Linked DNA regions of Tamandua tetradactyla. The protein of the gene in region 1 purifies or fractionates together with the protein of each later gene. This does not show direct contact. Links are inferred from orthologs where the notes say so. Each region holds a gene or a part of one and is shown on either strand. Other genes may lie near its edges.

Region 1 (7,370 bases):
CTGGGAGTGCTCTCCCTGCTTCGTTGCTTCTCCTAGCCTTTCCATGCCCTGAAGAGAGGAGACACATTTTTCTCATATTGTTTGGTAGTTGTCTGTTTCCTCTCAGCAGCCTCTCAGCTCCTTGAAAACAGGGATCTCTATATTGCTCTACAAGTGTTTGGTAGTCAAATGCGTCTTGAATAAATGGCTCCCAACACCCTGTATGGTACTTAACATGTGTTCAATAAATGTTTATTAACATGTGCTTAATAAATTTTTATTGAATTAATGTTGTTGAATATGAATCATTGTATTTTTGCTTGCTGTTATAGGTGTAGGAAGCTTGGTCCCTATGACTTTGAGGTGGTAGTTTTTGTTGCAATAGGTTGCCTGGGTATCAGGAAGAGCTACAGAATTATCTGGATTATTTTCTCCCAGCTTTTGTTTCTTCTCTACAGGCATGGGTTGGAATTGGAGCCTGTCACCCCACCTGATTGCAACCAGCATCATGTGGTTGCCAACTGTTCTGCATTCATCTGTTGATGCCGCCCAGAAAAAAACGCCGCCAACGATCCCAGAAAGCTCCACTGCTATTCCAGCAACAACCACTGGAGGGCCCCAAACACCACTCTGGATCCCCACAGCTTCCCATCACCCATACTAAACGGGTGCCCAGCAAGCCTATTGATCACAGCACCATCACTTCCTGGGTAGGTTCATAGGATTCTTATTTTGACTTTTACTCCAGTAGGTGTCTCAGAATGCTAACCATTGAACAAGGACCTCCAAAGAATAAGATTTTTGGGGTGCAAAAGACAAAGAAGCATTGTATTCTTTCTGTTTTCAGCCATCTCTTCTTTTTTTCTCGTTTTAAACTGAGACATGGGTTGGTTAGAATTGTTGCCTTTCCCCCTACATTCCTCTAAAGGAGTTCAGTGTAAAGCTTTCACCACCCAATAGCCAGAAAAATGACAAGAATATTGTTCCCTGAGTTTCATATGAGAAGTGGAGTACTCAGGTATTCTCTTTACTGTTTAATGGATTGAACTTTGAAAAACAAAATGCACAGAAATTGGATATGTGATAATTTAACTATTTAAAAGCTCTGGAATAAGGGATTAGCTACTATATGGCATGGAAATAGTATAACAAAAGGGCTAGACAAAAGCATAAGCTCTGTTTAGTTAAGAGTGACTAATAAATAAAACTTGGCCAGGACTGCTTGGAAGAACTGTAATACTCACTTGAGGATTGTGGAAGAAACTTAAATTTTAGAGTTCTGTGGACGAAAATAAGAGTGAATATTTATTGACTACTTACTATGTGCCAGACCCTATGCTGATTGTTTTACATACATGATCTCAGTTCCTCATTCATGCATTCAGCCATTTATTATTTCCTGAGCGAGGCACTCTACTAGGTTCTGGGGACTGTGATGTGAACAAGACTGCTGTTGGTCCCTCCTCTCATGAAATATAAAGATACTTTAAAAGTTGCAGCCATATTGTGTGAAGTCAAAGAGACATTGTTCCTTTCTTAAGTATAAGGAAATAGCCAGAGATTGATTTTTTTTTTTTTTTTTTTTTACCATAGCTCATATCCCTTTCTGTTACTATGCCACTAGACAACTGTTATTTTTCTATTTCTATTACCAAAGTCGGCCCCCGTATAGGATTCTGGTCACTGGATGTCAGTTCCTGGTTATGGTTTGTACTTTCAAGTTTGTACTTGGCAGTTGGTTCTCTTCACTTCTTTCTCTTTTTTTTTTTAATCCTTAGATATTGCCTGAGTTTGACATGACAGCAGAAAGTTGGTATCCAGTCAACCAGAAATGTCATCACCAAGACCAGGCAAGACATTCAAGTCGCAAATCTGCCGCCTCCAAGTTTCCACAACTAATCTTTGAGAGTCCACAGTCTTCTTCCAGTTCAGTGACACTGGAGATCCCCTTAAGCAAGAAGGGCCCTAGTCAACTGGCAAAGGACATTTCTGGAAGGCCCTTAGTTCCAATGCTCAGCCCCCAAAGTAGTAGGGAACTGTCAGTGCATGCACTTCAAAGTCCAGGTTATGTGTTCATTCCACCTGATATCCAGACCCCAGAGTCATCTGTGAAAAAACCCATTCACCCAGATCAGAGGAAGAACAGCCTTCCAAGCTGCTCCCTTCACTCTAGTACTCCCAAGAATGAAGGGCCTGGACCTGCTCTAGTTAAAGACACTCCTGAAGAGAAGTATGGCATAAAGGTCACTTGGAGGAGACGGAAACACCTATTTGCTTACCTCAGGGACAGAGGGAAGCTGAGCAGAAGCCAGTTCCTTGTGAAAAACTGACTTATCAGATAACAGCCTCTTTATTAAGAAACACAAGAAATTGCTGATTTTCATAGAGTTGCTAAAGTAACTTTTCTGACTCACAGGAAGAGTACATCAATAGAATAAAATGGAAATAACACCAAATTAAAAAACAACTTTAACTGGAGCCCTGTAACCAAAAGGAAATTAAACTCCCTGATTAGCTTTTTAAAATACCTTGTTTCATAAACAGTTGGATTTAGTGCCATAAACAGTTTACTTCATATTTTTCTTATATTAACTGTTTAATTAATTTTAAAATGGCTTTTAACTTTAAAATGTATGTAAATAAATGGTTGCAGAAAGTTTTCAGAGAACTGTGCTGCTCATTGTCAGTAATGCAGCAATAGTGCCCCACTCACAAAAGGTCTTTCTTATTTCCTTTAGCCACTGCTCATTAATCCGTTATCTCTTTTAGACCAATTCATTCCACATTTTGAGAACCAACTCTGTGCCACGCTCAGTGGCAACTTCCTTTATGACTGGATGGGCAGAAAAAAATCAAAGGAAACGCATGACTTTTTTATAGTTGAGCTGCCGTCTCAGCACCCTGGCTCATCTGCTGAAAGAGCAAGAATAGGACAAGTTCTATTTTCATAAATACAGTGGGACCAGGGTAGATACAGACATAGACAAGTTACTTAGGCTTGCTTAGGTTTTGACATTTTTTTTCCCCCACCAAAGAAATCTGTAAACATTAGGTAGGATGGGAAAATGATTTCTTGTAGCTGTTTAAAATGTATGAAAATAAAGTGCAAAGTTTTCAGACATGATTACTTCTTGTTGTAACTAATGCAGAAGGGCTGCCCAGTCAAGAAAATGTCTCAATTGTCCTTTTACCCATACAAATAATGTCATTCAACCCTATTCACTCAGTATTTATTAAGAATCTCGTCTGTGTCAGATCCAGCCCAGCTTATTATTCTGCTTATTTTATAGAGGGGGATTTGAAGCACAGATCATGAACCATGTTCAGGTTCACTGGATGAGTGGAGACTGACCCAAAGTGTTCAATGCTCTGCTCTCCTAGCTTATGTCAAGTTCTATGTCTCTTAAAAAAATCAACTTCTGGATTCAAAATTAATGTGGAAATAACTTTGACTTTGGAATGCAATAAACTAGTCAGTGTGCAACAATAGTGGTGGTAAGAAAGGAATTGATGGTTGAGGACAAGATTTATTGGAAACAATGCTATCGTTTTAGATAGTGGATCCCATTATGGGACATGGATGTTTGAAGATGGTCTATAGATTGGAGAGAAAGGTGGATGGAAAAGTTTCTGGATTCTCTTGTGCTTTAGGAGAGTGTATAGCAGGTCTAGGAATGAGCTAAAAGCTTAGGCTGGAGTGGGAGAAGCTGAAGTTTTGGGCAGATGTGAGAAGCAGGTGAAAAGTGTGAGGCCAGGAAACTAAAGGAAAGATGGATTTAATTGGCGGATATCAGCTGAGGAGGGTACTTGCGTGTTTGAGAAGAAGGCCTTCGTTTTCGTGGAAGGAAAAAGATTGTGAGAGGGTCAGCTGGTCTGTAAGTCCTTACATTACAGATCTCTGGCAGCGCCATGGGTGGTCTTTGGGAGTACCGGGAAGCCACTCTGGGTGGTGGCTAGTGGGGGTTGGGCGGCTCCTCAAAGGGACTCGCATCTCCGTCGCGGGAAACCAACGGCGCAGTGGCAAAAACATCCTTCAGCACGCAGCCCTTCCCGGCGCAGCGCTCCAGGGGACCAGGCCCTTGCGCGTCATCCCCGCTCCGGCGCAGGCGCCTTTAACTCTCTAGTTCTTCCCTCCTCTTAGAAACCCTCTCGCATCCCGGTGGCGGCAATAGCCAATGAGAGAGGAACGGTAGGCACATGGACCAATGGGCGGTGGTGACAGTGCAGGGTGTGGTTGCCAGGGGGCGGGGCCCGGCTGCCTGCCAGTCTTGCCAGCCTAGCAGCGGCGTCTACGAGTCTGGATGTGATTGCCACTTACTTAGCAGCGGGTGATGGAGGCGTCGCGCTATGGACGTGGACCCAGTGGGGATAGGTAAGAGATGGATTGTGGCTAGTCCCTTCGCGAGCGAGGCGGGGAGACGAAGTGAGAAAGTGGATGTCCTGTCCGGGATGTCTGAGGGGAGAAGGCGGTGGGCTCCTCTCTGGGAAGCGATCTCTCTCCCTACTCCCTGGGACAGGACCCCTTTTAAAGTGAGCAGAAGAGCGCGGCGACTCGGCAGCTTTGCCCATCAGCAGAGGCTCCTCCCCGCCTTGGGAAACTCTTGGAGTTTTCGTTCCGAGCTCTCATTGCTCTGGAGGGCCTCAGTTTCCCCTTATTTAAAATGTATTAGCCCTGCTCTTCACGCACTGCCTGGTAGTTTAATAACTGAGATTGGATACATCCTCTGCTTTCCGAGGATGTCGAAGCAGAAGGTTGTGAGTAATACTGGATACTTTGCACTAATGCTGAAGCTTTTGCTAGGCAGTGCTGAATTCTGGAACAGTTGTTCCAGGGCTGAAAATACAAAACTCGTTTTCTTCTGTCTGCTTTCTAGCAGTTATCTCTTACTCGGGATTTTCTGTCTTTTTATAAACGTACCATACCCGTTGTTTGTGCCCCTCTTTCTTTCTCTTTCGTAACTTCGGCCTCCGCCAGAGGGAGAGCCTGGAAAATAAAACGATCTGAAATCTCAGCCTGCCAATTTCTTGTTAGCCAGATTAATGAAAAGTTAATGGGGATCGGTGTGAAATCATTAGCTTAAAACTTGACATTGTCTGAGGATTTAAATCATACACACACCATCTGCTTTTTAAAAAATTATTATTCCATTACTACTGCGAATAAAGATTTGGCACGTAAAGATTCAGGCTGCTTTATTATTTTTTTCGTTTTTATTTGTTTATTTATTTAGTCTGTTTTTTACTAGAATAAATTTAAACAATTCTAAACCATTTTTAAAAATTGTCACTAGAGAGGTGTTGGGGTAGAGAACACTCCTTCCTCCTTCATCAGGTTCTATTTATGTGATAGTGGCACTCTCAAAATGTGTTTACAACACTTTTTTTTTCCAAGTGGAGAGAAAAATAATCCACACTTACAAGTATAAATATGGGAATGCTAGGATGAGGTAAAGGTAATATTCAGCTTCTGTGGTTGAGTTCAGATGGTACTTGTTTAATTGTGGACACTCAATAAATCTTAGTTGAGTTTTAAAGCTATAAATTTCATAGTTATCAGATGTTTGATATGACTCACAATTTTTGGGAAAAAAGTAATTAACTTTGAAATTGGCATCTGGAGGCAAATGGCTATAATTTATTGGAACTGAAGTTTGAGATTTAAATGAAGATAAACATTTCTTTTCTTTTTTTTCTTCCCCAAAACACAAGCTCTTTAATTTTAAAAATTGAAATAAAAAAAGAAAAATAAATTAAAGAAAATTGACATCAAAGGGGAGTGTGTGAGTCACCAAATATTTCTCTTGCGGTAGGTAATGTTAGTGCAGCTTTTCAGTTTAACTTCTTTGTTGCTAAGAGGGAGTGAAGTTTATCTCTTGCTGTGTTAGTTTCAAGTTGTGTCTTTAAAGTTTTTGATGAAATACATTGATAGAGTCTTTGATATTAATGTACCTGAGAAGTTAGGATTTAGGGGATAAGTATTTGATTACTGAATCGTTATATAGACATTGCTTTTTTTCTTTCTGGTTTATTTGAGTAGACAGAGGGAGATACCTGAAATCTCTGAACTGTAATCCATCTGCCTTGATCTCTGATAATGAGCCTATATATAGCCTTTATCTTATGCCCTTGTGATTGTAAAAACTTTGTGGCTGACCCTCACTTGTACTCATTTTATCCGGTTTTTTGACTCTAAAATCTTGTGATCACTAACCCTCACGTTTATTATTGAAGGGTCTTGGGTCAGCCCAGAATGCATGCACCCCAAATCTAAAGTTATCTTGATAACCGAAGCTGGCTCTGACCTAAATGGGCCTGCCTGAATGCATAGTAGCTTGTATTTTAACTTGTAAATCACCTGTACCTCATTGTAATATTAAAATTCATGCCCATCATTATATTAAGGCCACAATTTTCTTACATATGTTCTTTCACTAAACGTGTAATGAGTCTGCACATTGTCCTGAAACCTGCCTATCTTTTCATACTATAAAACTGTCAGAATTACTGCAGTTCAGGGAGACAGATTTGGGGTGGATAGGTCATCTGATCTCCTGCGTCGTACCTAGCAACATTTTTTTTCTCTCTTTGAAACCCGTGTCTTAGGAATTGTCTATTGAACGCATACGGCAGAGAGTGTACCACCTTTGTTTAGTAACATTAATACCTTTCGATGTGAAGATGATATCTGCCTTTCAAATTTCCTGTGATTTTTTTCTTCTTTGACTTATGTGACTGTTTTAACATAAGACAGATTTATTTTCAACAAAGTAGAAATATTAACAGTAAACTTTAAATGTTTTTCTTGTATCTCAAATGTTTAGTGAAAATTGGAGATAGAATTTGAAGTAGCACTCTGAGGACCTTTGTTGAAGCTGGGCATTTGTATTATAGAATTTCTGGAGAGGATAGGGATTGGCTAGGGAGAGAACTTTTTTTTTTCAGGGAGTATTATTTTATTAAATCATGCACATTATGTGTGTTAGGGAAGTTGGTTTAATCTGTATTAGAGATTAAACTAACTTGAGCTCTATCTGGCCTTTGTGATAAATAATTTGTGATACAGAATTGAAGGTATGGTGAGAGACTTCCCAGTGTGATCTTGTGATCCAGACTTGGGTCGGAAAATCCTGCTCTGTGGTTTAAACAATACATCAGGATTTCTCTTTACAAATATGAAAAGCAGTAGTGGCCTGAAGTTATGTCCTGGTTAGTCTTATTATCTGCTCCCATGCCTTTTTTTTTTTTTTTTTTTTAGTGTCTCACCAGATCACTGAGTAGTTACAAACAGATTACCCAGTGTTTAAAATACTAAAAAAAAAGTGGTATTTGACTATTGTATGTTTGGCAAACTTCAACAGCTACAGTAAAGAGCTAATAACATCTCACATGCA
Region 2 (7,681 bases), on another chromosome or scaffold:
CACTATTCCTTTTAGATACCTACTAACCTAGATCATCTTTTGCTGAAAACTAGACTTCCTTATGTGTAGGATGGATAGGACACTTCCATTTTAGTTGCAAAAGGATGTTTTTAATATTTAATTTGCCTGTTAAACTAGCAATAAATCTAGTAGCCTCAAAGCTTTAAGAAGCTCAAAGTCTTTAAAACACTCATATGTAATCCCTAGGTATATATGGTCATCTTTGGTTAAAGGTAGAGAAATTCCAGACACAGAGTTGACATAAAATCATTGGTGGGTGTTATGTCAATTTCTTTTTTTTTTTTTTCCGTTAATTAAAAAAAAAAAAAATCATTGCTGGGATTGAGAGCAGGAATCAAGTCTAACCCCCTGCTCCACCAATCTGTCCAGGTTGTCTCCCCATGGGAGTTTAAGTAAAACCACTATTCTTCTTTAAAGGAGTTATTCATTATACCATAAAAACATAATGAATAACTAATACAGAGCTGTTCAAAAGATCTCCTTTTTATGTCGTATTCACTCAGGTAACATAAAAGCAAAACTGCTAAGCTCTGAATCTGCATTAAGAGCATATTACAAATAATAGATGAACTATGTGATTATAGTTTTGAATTATTTAGAGCTCTAAAGCATTTTAGAGAAGCATTACATTATAATAGAAGATAACAATGACTATGAAACATACAAAATTAAATTTGAAGTCACACAAGAGTAGTAAGAGGGGCACAAAAGAAGACACTGACTATTCTCAATCAGTTTATGTATAAAGGTGTCCTCCCCAAACCTTTTCACAAGTGAAACCTTTTAATTTTCCTTAAGTCTCAAGATTACCAGCTGGAAAGAGGTTGGGGAGAAAATAAAGCACTATTGAGCAGAGTCCCAGCTGTTGCACCAGGGAGAGACAGTGGCAGCTGTTACCCTCACAATTCTCCTTTGACCAAAGTAGTAACCAGCTGATTCCGTCTCTTCCACAGGAAAGGGCTTTAAGGTAGTTAGACAAGGTATTAGGATCAACTGGTAGAATGTGTCTGACATTTGGCCCTATTTCCTGGCTCTATTCCCACATCCTAACCATGTAGAAGCATGAAATACAGATAGGAAAGAATAAATTCCTCATCGTATAACGTTTAATAGCACTTTAAAGCACTGAATACCTTGAAATATTTTCACAGAAGTAAAGTCTTTCTCAGTCTGTGAGCAGTTGTTGTCCATTTCAGAGTCACATTTCAAAATGTCAGTATGCAAATGTTCCTTCCTTTCCCCAACTTTTACTTTTGTTTTGATTTCCTCAGATTCTAAAAATGCATCCCGACACTTCTGGTGTTCTGCTTCTTTGGTTGAACATAATTTGTTTATGATGCCAGAAGTCAGTTGTTCAAGATGAAAGTTTGATCCTGAACTCAATGATTCTTCTTTTACAAGTCCCTTTTCTTCACTGGTTGCACTGAGGGTCTCGTCGATTGCTCTGGCATCAGCAGTGCAGAGAGTTCTAATAAGCTGAGATTCTTGTGTGACAGACTCACCTTCAGCATCTGTTTTATTACACACAGATTCTCTTTTTCTACTACTTTGCATGGAATCTGAAAGACTTTTCTGGCATCTTCTTTTAGTTTTCCTAATTTGAATTCTTTTCAAAAGAGTCACTTTTCCTTTGGACTTTCTAACCTTTCTGGAGTTAGTATCATTAACACCCTTATCTTCTTTCAAAAGCAAATGATTGGAAGTAGAATTAGAGAGTCCTCTGCTCTCTTGCAATTCCAAGCTACCACTTGGCAGAGGAAACGCATCTTTTTTCCACCTGCCTCGTGTCCTGAGATTCCAGTTTGAAATGTTAGTTTCATTTTGTTGTTGGGATGCCTGAGATGTCATGCTGCAGTCTTTATATCTTGATCTGATGTCTTTTTTAGAAGGTACAGTAAAATCAAAATCTTCTGGCTTAAGAGAAGTCTCTTGATTTTTGTGAAGGTAATTAGCAAGGGAACTTTTGGTTCTGAACTTCAGTCCTTGAGGGCTAGAATGTGATATTAAAGAAACTTATTGCTAGCAAATACAAGTGAGTTTAAAAAAAGAATTGGACCACATTTTAGATTTCTCATGCATAATTTCTAAATGGAGCCATGAACAATTGTCATTTAAAATAAAAACCAGTGATGAAATGGTACTTTTAATGTTTCTTCTATGATAACCCAAAATAATTTTATGTATATAACTTAAATGCAAACTCACCATTAACCATTTATAGAAGGGACAAATTGTAATTGTCTCCAAATTATCTGAGGTAACTAATCAGTGACACTGAAGAAAGAGAACTCACTTAAGTTTTATTGCAAAAATAGATACAAGTTAGGATTCCTGTTATGCTTTTCCACTACCTGTCTAGACAAAATGCTCACCTGATAAAATATACATCAAATCTTCCAGCTGTTTTCCCAGATAACCTTTGCTTTACAATTTTTTCCCATCCACAAGGGACAGACTTATGGCCTTCTGTCATTGTAGTAATACCAAACTGAGCAGGAGTAATGGATTCTTGTAGCAGGGGATTACTCTTGCTACTTGTTTTTATCACCATTTGTTTCTCATCTTCTCCCACTCTTCCCAATCTCAGAGAACCTTCTTCCTCACTGAAAAACAAAGTACAAGTGATTAGCTCATCTGAAATTTATTTCCCTCGACTTATACAATTTTAATCCATGACATGGTGAAAACCATATGGACTATTAAGATAAAATAGGAAATTAAAGTCAGTATAGACTGCAACAAAGGGCTAACAAAGGGTTGGAAATACTCGTGCAATGAAAAGCTCAAGCTACCTATTAGGAACTTTTTTTGTCAATCATTAAGTAGAACTATTATAAAGATTTCTGGTGACACTTGGCATAATTATGAGAATATGAACCAACAGCTGAGCTCTAAACCTGGGATCAAGAGAACTGCTTAAAGGAGTCAATGAGACAACTCTTCTCTCCCTAAACAGGTGAGGAAAAAAATTTATATATACATGCATTTTTCCGGGAGGCAGTGCCCATGACTTTCATCAGATGTCCTAAGACTCCCAAAGATAAATAATTTGATTCAATTCTCCCCCATTCTTATTTCTCATGATAACTTTGTGAGGTAGGTAGGATAAGGATTATTTTCATTTCATTGATAAAATTGAGTGACAGGAAGGTAAAGTTACTTGCAGAATTGATTCCAGAACCCAGATCTACCAAATCTTGGTCCAATAACTTTCTTGGTCCAATAACCTTCCCACTCAAACTACTGAAAAGTTTCAGTAGGGTATATCCTAATCATTACATCACACATGTTGAAACTTGGATGGGTCTATAGAAATCATGGAAATCAACTTCTTTTCTAAAAATAGGGAAACTAAGCAAGAGCGAGTAACTAACTAGACTTAGAATCAAGTTATTCAGACTGAATTTCGAGTGAAATAATTCGGAGGGTCTGAATGGGATCTTATGAAACTACATAGTGCATAATTTTAGAGATAAAGGAACTGAAACCTGGTGAAAACAGCACAAACTTTGAAGTGAACAGGTTGGTTTCAAATCCAGCTGTCAGTTACCAGGTGCATATCCAAGAGCAAGTTACTTAACCTTCCAAAGCCAAGTTTCCTTATCTGTGAAAAGGAGGTGATACCTCTTTTAAGGTTAATTCTGAGGACTAACTATTGAGACGAGTAGGTAAATCATCTTAGCCTTAGATCGCACATATGCAAGCACTCCATAAAAACTGTAGTTCTCTTCCCATGTCTGGGTGTCCCTGGTTGTTCACGACCACATAAAATCTAGGTCCAACTCCAAAATCTTTTTAGGATCCTCCAATCCAAGCAGCTATCTCTCCTTACACCACAAAACCGCCTCCCAGCTCCCCTGTCATTTGGGGCAAGGAAGTCGGGCCCACCCCAAGGCTAATCCCCACAGGAGGAGTGGTACCTGTGACCCAGTCTTATCTCCGAACAATCAGACCCAGGGCACAGAGGTCTCTGTCGAACCTAGAATGTCAAGGTTAGAAAGGACCACACATCTTCTCCTCGCCCACTCTCGCTTTACAGGGGGTGAAACTGAGGCCCGAAAAGAGACAGTAACTTGCCGAGGGTCACACGGCTGTTCTGGGACTAGGCGTTCACTAGAGGTGTCCAAGCGGGAAGCTCCACCGTCCCCCAGGTCCCGACTCTCCATTTCAGCCGTGCTCCTCAAGCGGGCTCCGGCTGCAGCGACCCGAGCCCCTGCGCAGCTGTAACGTCTGGAGGGCCGGAGTAACACGTGAAAGCTTCTTAAGTTCAGAACACTGGGCTGAAACCTCGATATGAATATATGGAAAGTCTGTCAGACTCTACAGCTCCTTACCCGCCAACTCCTCAGCAAAAGCTGCCATTTTTCGTGGTTCAGCCAATCAAATTCTTTATCGAGAAGATGCACCGCCCCCGGTCTGTCGCTCGCGCCTTCATCGCGCATGCGCTTTCTAGGCTCCTGGTCCCGCTTCACTTTTGCTTTTTCTGGCTCTCCCTTTTGGTCATGCGCATTCGGAAGTCTTTGCCTGCTCCTGGCTCACTGCGCAAGTGCGTTGCCAGGGGCAGCGCAGGTAGCCAAAGTAGCTTGCTGAGAGGGCCTGTTGCTGTGGCGGGGCGGAGGGATCTGAGGCTTGAGAAACCGCGATGAGAGCCGTGTTGACGTGGAGAGATAAAGCCGAGCAGTGGTGAGACTTGGGACAGCCTGGGAGGATGGGGTAGCCGAGCCCCAACGGGGATGGCGGGAACCATTACGTGAATCACTGCAGTTGCTAAAGGCAACAGGCTGGAGGCCTGGGCCGAGGGGCACTGAACCCCGAGTCTGGGAGACTGCAAGGTCAACCCCTTACTTTGTGAATGGAGAAACTGAGTCTTGGGGAAGGGGCCAAGGGATACATCACGCGTCGGGTCGTGGCCTGTTCTGGTCTTGTCGCCTCCTTACTCAAAATTCGTTTTGACTGTATCTTATAGCCACAACAGCGTTTCCCAAACTTCAGTTTTTGCCATATCCATATATTACCCATACTCTTGTTTACTTGACGTTTTTCTTTATCACTTATTTTTGCTTAATTATGTTTTTAAAAGGAAAGTGTATTACTTCTTTTAACGATAACTATAAAGCTAAAAGGGAGAAACAAAACAATATTAATAAGTTGTAGCTAGGTAGTTGCTAGGGGGCCTTTAAACTTGAGGTTTACTGCCTCTAAACTTGGAGAGGAGCAACTCTTGTCAGAGAGGTGCTTAAAATGAATGGCATCAAAACAAGACTCTCACCTATGCTTAATTAGAAGATTTGGAAGAGAATTGTAAGAATGACTTTCTCACCTTATCAGTCTATGTTATTTAATGTCTTAGTCCGTTTATCACCTAAATCCATCACACAGTGGTACATTTTGGGAAATACTGACTTAGTGGGTAGTGCTCAGCCTGACTTTCAGTTTTCCTAGATGATCTTTTCGGCTTTCTCATGAAGCCTCTTTTTTGTTTGTTTGTTTGTTTTTAAATATTTTTATTGACAAATCTTCACACACATACATTTCCTACATGGTGAATTCTCGGTGGCTCACAACATCATCACATAGTTGTGTATTCAGTACCATGATCATTTTCTAGAACATTTGCATCACTCCAGAAAAAGAAATGAGGAAAAAACCCTCATATATACCAATACCCCTTACCACTCCCTCTCATCGACCACTAGTATTTCCATCTACCCAATTTATTTTACCCTTTGTCCCCCCTATTATTTATTTATTCTGTATCGATATATTTTTGCTCATCCATCCATACCCTGGATAAAAGAAGTAACAGACACAAGCTTTTCACAATTCCACAGTCACATTGTAAGAGTTATATCTTTATATAATCGTCTTCAAGAATCAAGGCTACTGGAACGCAGCTCGACAGTTTCAGGTAATTCCCTCCAGCCACTCCAATACACCTAAACTAAAAAGGGGTATCTATATAATGTGTAAGAATAATCTCCAGGATAACCTCTTGACTGTATTTGAAATCTCTCAGCCAGTGAAACTTCATTTTGTCTCATTTCTCTCTTCCCCCTTTTGATCAAGAAGGCTTTCTCAATCCCTTAATGCTGGGTCCCGGCTCATCCCAGGACTTCTGTCCCACATTGCCAGGGAGATTTCCACCCCTGGGAGTCATGTCCCATGTTGCGGGGCAGGGCAGTGTGTTCACTGCCCTGAGTTAGCTTGGAGAGAGAGGCCACATCTGAGCAACAAAAGAGGTTCTCTGGAGGTGACTCCTAGGCCTAATTTTAAGTAGGCTTAGCCTGTCCTTTGCAGGAATAAATTTCATAGAGGCGGACCCCAAGATCGAGGGCTCAACATATTGATTTGGTTGTCCCCACTGCTTGTGAGAATATCAGAAATTCTCCAAATGGGGAAGTTGAATATTTCCTCCTTTCTCCCAGGTCCCCCAAGGGGACCTTGCAAGTACTTCTTTATTCACTGCTCAAATTTCTCTGTGATCTGTCAGGGCATCATACTAACCTGTACAAACCAACAAGATCTCACACCCTATTCAAGATTCCATGTACTTATGCTGTTCAACTAAACTTGACCATACAAGTTAAATTAGGAAATGCACTACCCAAAATATCTGTTTTGCACCAAATAAACATCTCTTCCTTTGGTCTCACACAGAAATTGAAGTTTTTGTGGTTTTTTTTGTGTATGTTGTATGGCAGGGTTCACGTTTCATTCTTTTTTTCATGTGGGTATCCCCTTATTGCAGCACCATTTTTTGATTTTTTGTTTTGTTTTGTTTTTCATTTGTTTGCTTGTTTGTTTGTTTGGGAACTGTATAGGTCAGGAATTGAACCTAGGTCTCCTGCATAGCAGACGAGAATTCTGCCACTGAACTGCCTTGCACTCCCAGAAGTTGAAGTTTTAAAATATGGACCTTATCATCATTTACCCTGTATTCTAATTTACCTTGGTCTTATCCAGATCAGCTTCATTCATAACTCTACTTGAAGTCTTATCACTTTTTCAACTTTTTAAACAGATGAAGCCTGTTTTGACCAGTGAGACAGGCTGCTTGCCATTCCCTCCCTGACTTCTTGTAGGCCTATCTGTATCTGAAACATGCCCTCTTTTGTCATCTTATGTGGAAATTCTGCACACCTTTTAAGGCTCTCTTTGGAGATGGTTGCTCTTTTTTGTCCTCTGCACTCATAATAGGCAACTCTTACTATATGCCAGGCACTGGGCTATAAACTTCAGATCCTTGATCTTATTGCTACCTCACAAAAGTCCTCTGAGGTAGATACTATGATTACTTCTCTTTTAAGTATATAAAGAAACTGAAGCACAGGGAGGATAAGTAATTTGCCAGGGTCACATAGTGAGTAAATTGTGGATTCACCTCTCAAGCTCATTTCTGCCTCACTCTAAGGCCAATGCTTTTTACCACTATATTAATTTTACTCTATTACAGAAGTTGCACACTCAAATGCCTGCAGGAATCAAACAGGTAGTGTAAATGGGAGATTTTTATTTGCATATTAAAGCAAAGAATTATCTATTTTTCTTTGGAATGTTCTTCTGTCCTACATCACTTTTCCTGAAACACAGTCTTCCTTGTTTCGTTCACTTCCTACTTTTAATAGTGTCTTGAGATTAAAAACAACAATAATGACAAACT

What was found. The genes of interacting proteins can lie anywhere in the genome.
Region 2: the proteins of TULP3 (region 1) and IFT122 purify together in Homo sapiens (co-immunoprecipitation; 6 studies listed by BioGRID and IntAct, counting the BioPlex papers as one, with this or other methods). This does not show direct contact. The link is inferred for Tamandua tetradactyla from reciprocal best matches to the Homo sapiens genes TULP3 and IFT122.

Annotation. Positions count from the first base shown.
Region 1 is NC_135333.1:65,027,571-65,034,940, forward strand, and holds the start of TULP3 (tubby-related protein 3), read left to right. Parts: upstream 1-4,233; 5' UTR 4,234-4,310; coding exon 4,311-4,351; intron 4,352-7,370. Other genes in the region: RHNO1 (RAD9, HUS1, RAD1-interacting nuclear orphan protein 1), read left to right, coding at 522-689, 1,758-2,309. UniProt on the Homo sapiens protein: Negative regulator of the Shh signaling transduction pathway: recruited to primary cilia via association with the IFT complex A (IFT-A) and is required for recruitment of G protein-coupled receptor GPR161 to cilia, a promoter of PKA-dependent basal repression machinery in Shh signaling.
Region 2 is NC_135335.1:35,907,822-35,915,502, reverse strand, and holds the start of IFT122 (intraflagellar transport protein 122 homolog), read left to right. Parts: upstream 1-4,538; 5' UTR 4,539-4,663; coding exon 4,664-4,704; intron 4,705-7,681. Other genes in the region: MBD4 (methyl-CpG-binding domain protein 4), read right to left, coding at 1,155-2,011, 2,394-2,620, 4,095-4,187. UniProt on the Homo sapiens protein: As a component of the IFT complex A (IFT-A), a complex required for retrograde ciliary transport and entry into cilia of G protein-coupled receptors (GPCRs), it is required in ciliogenesis and ciliary protein trafficking.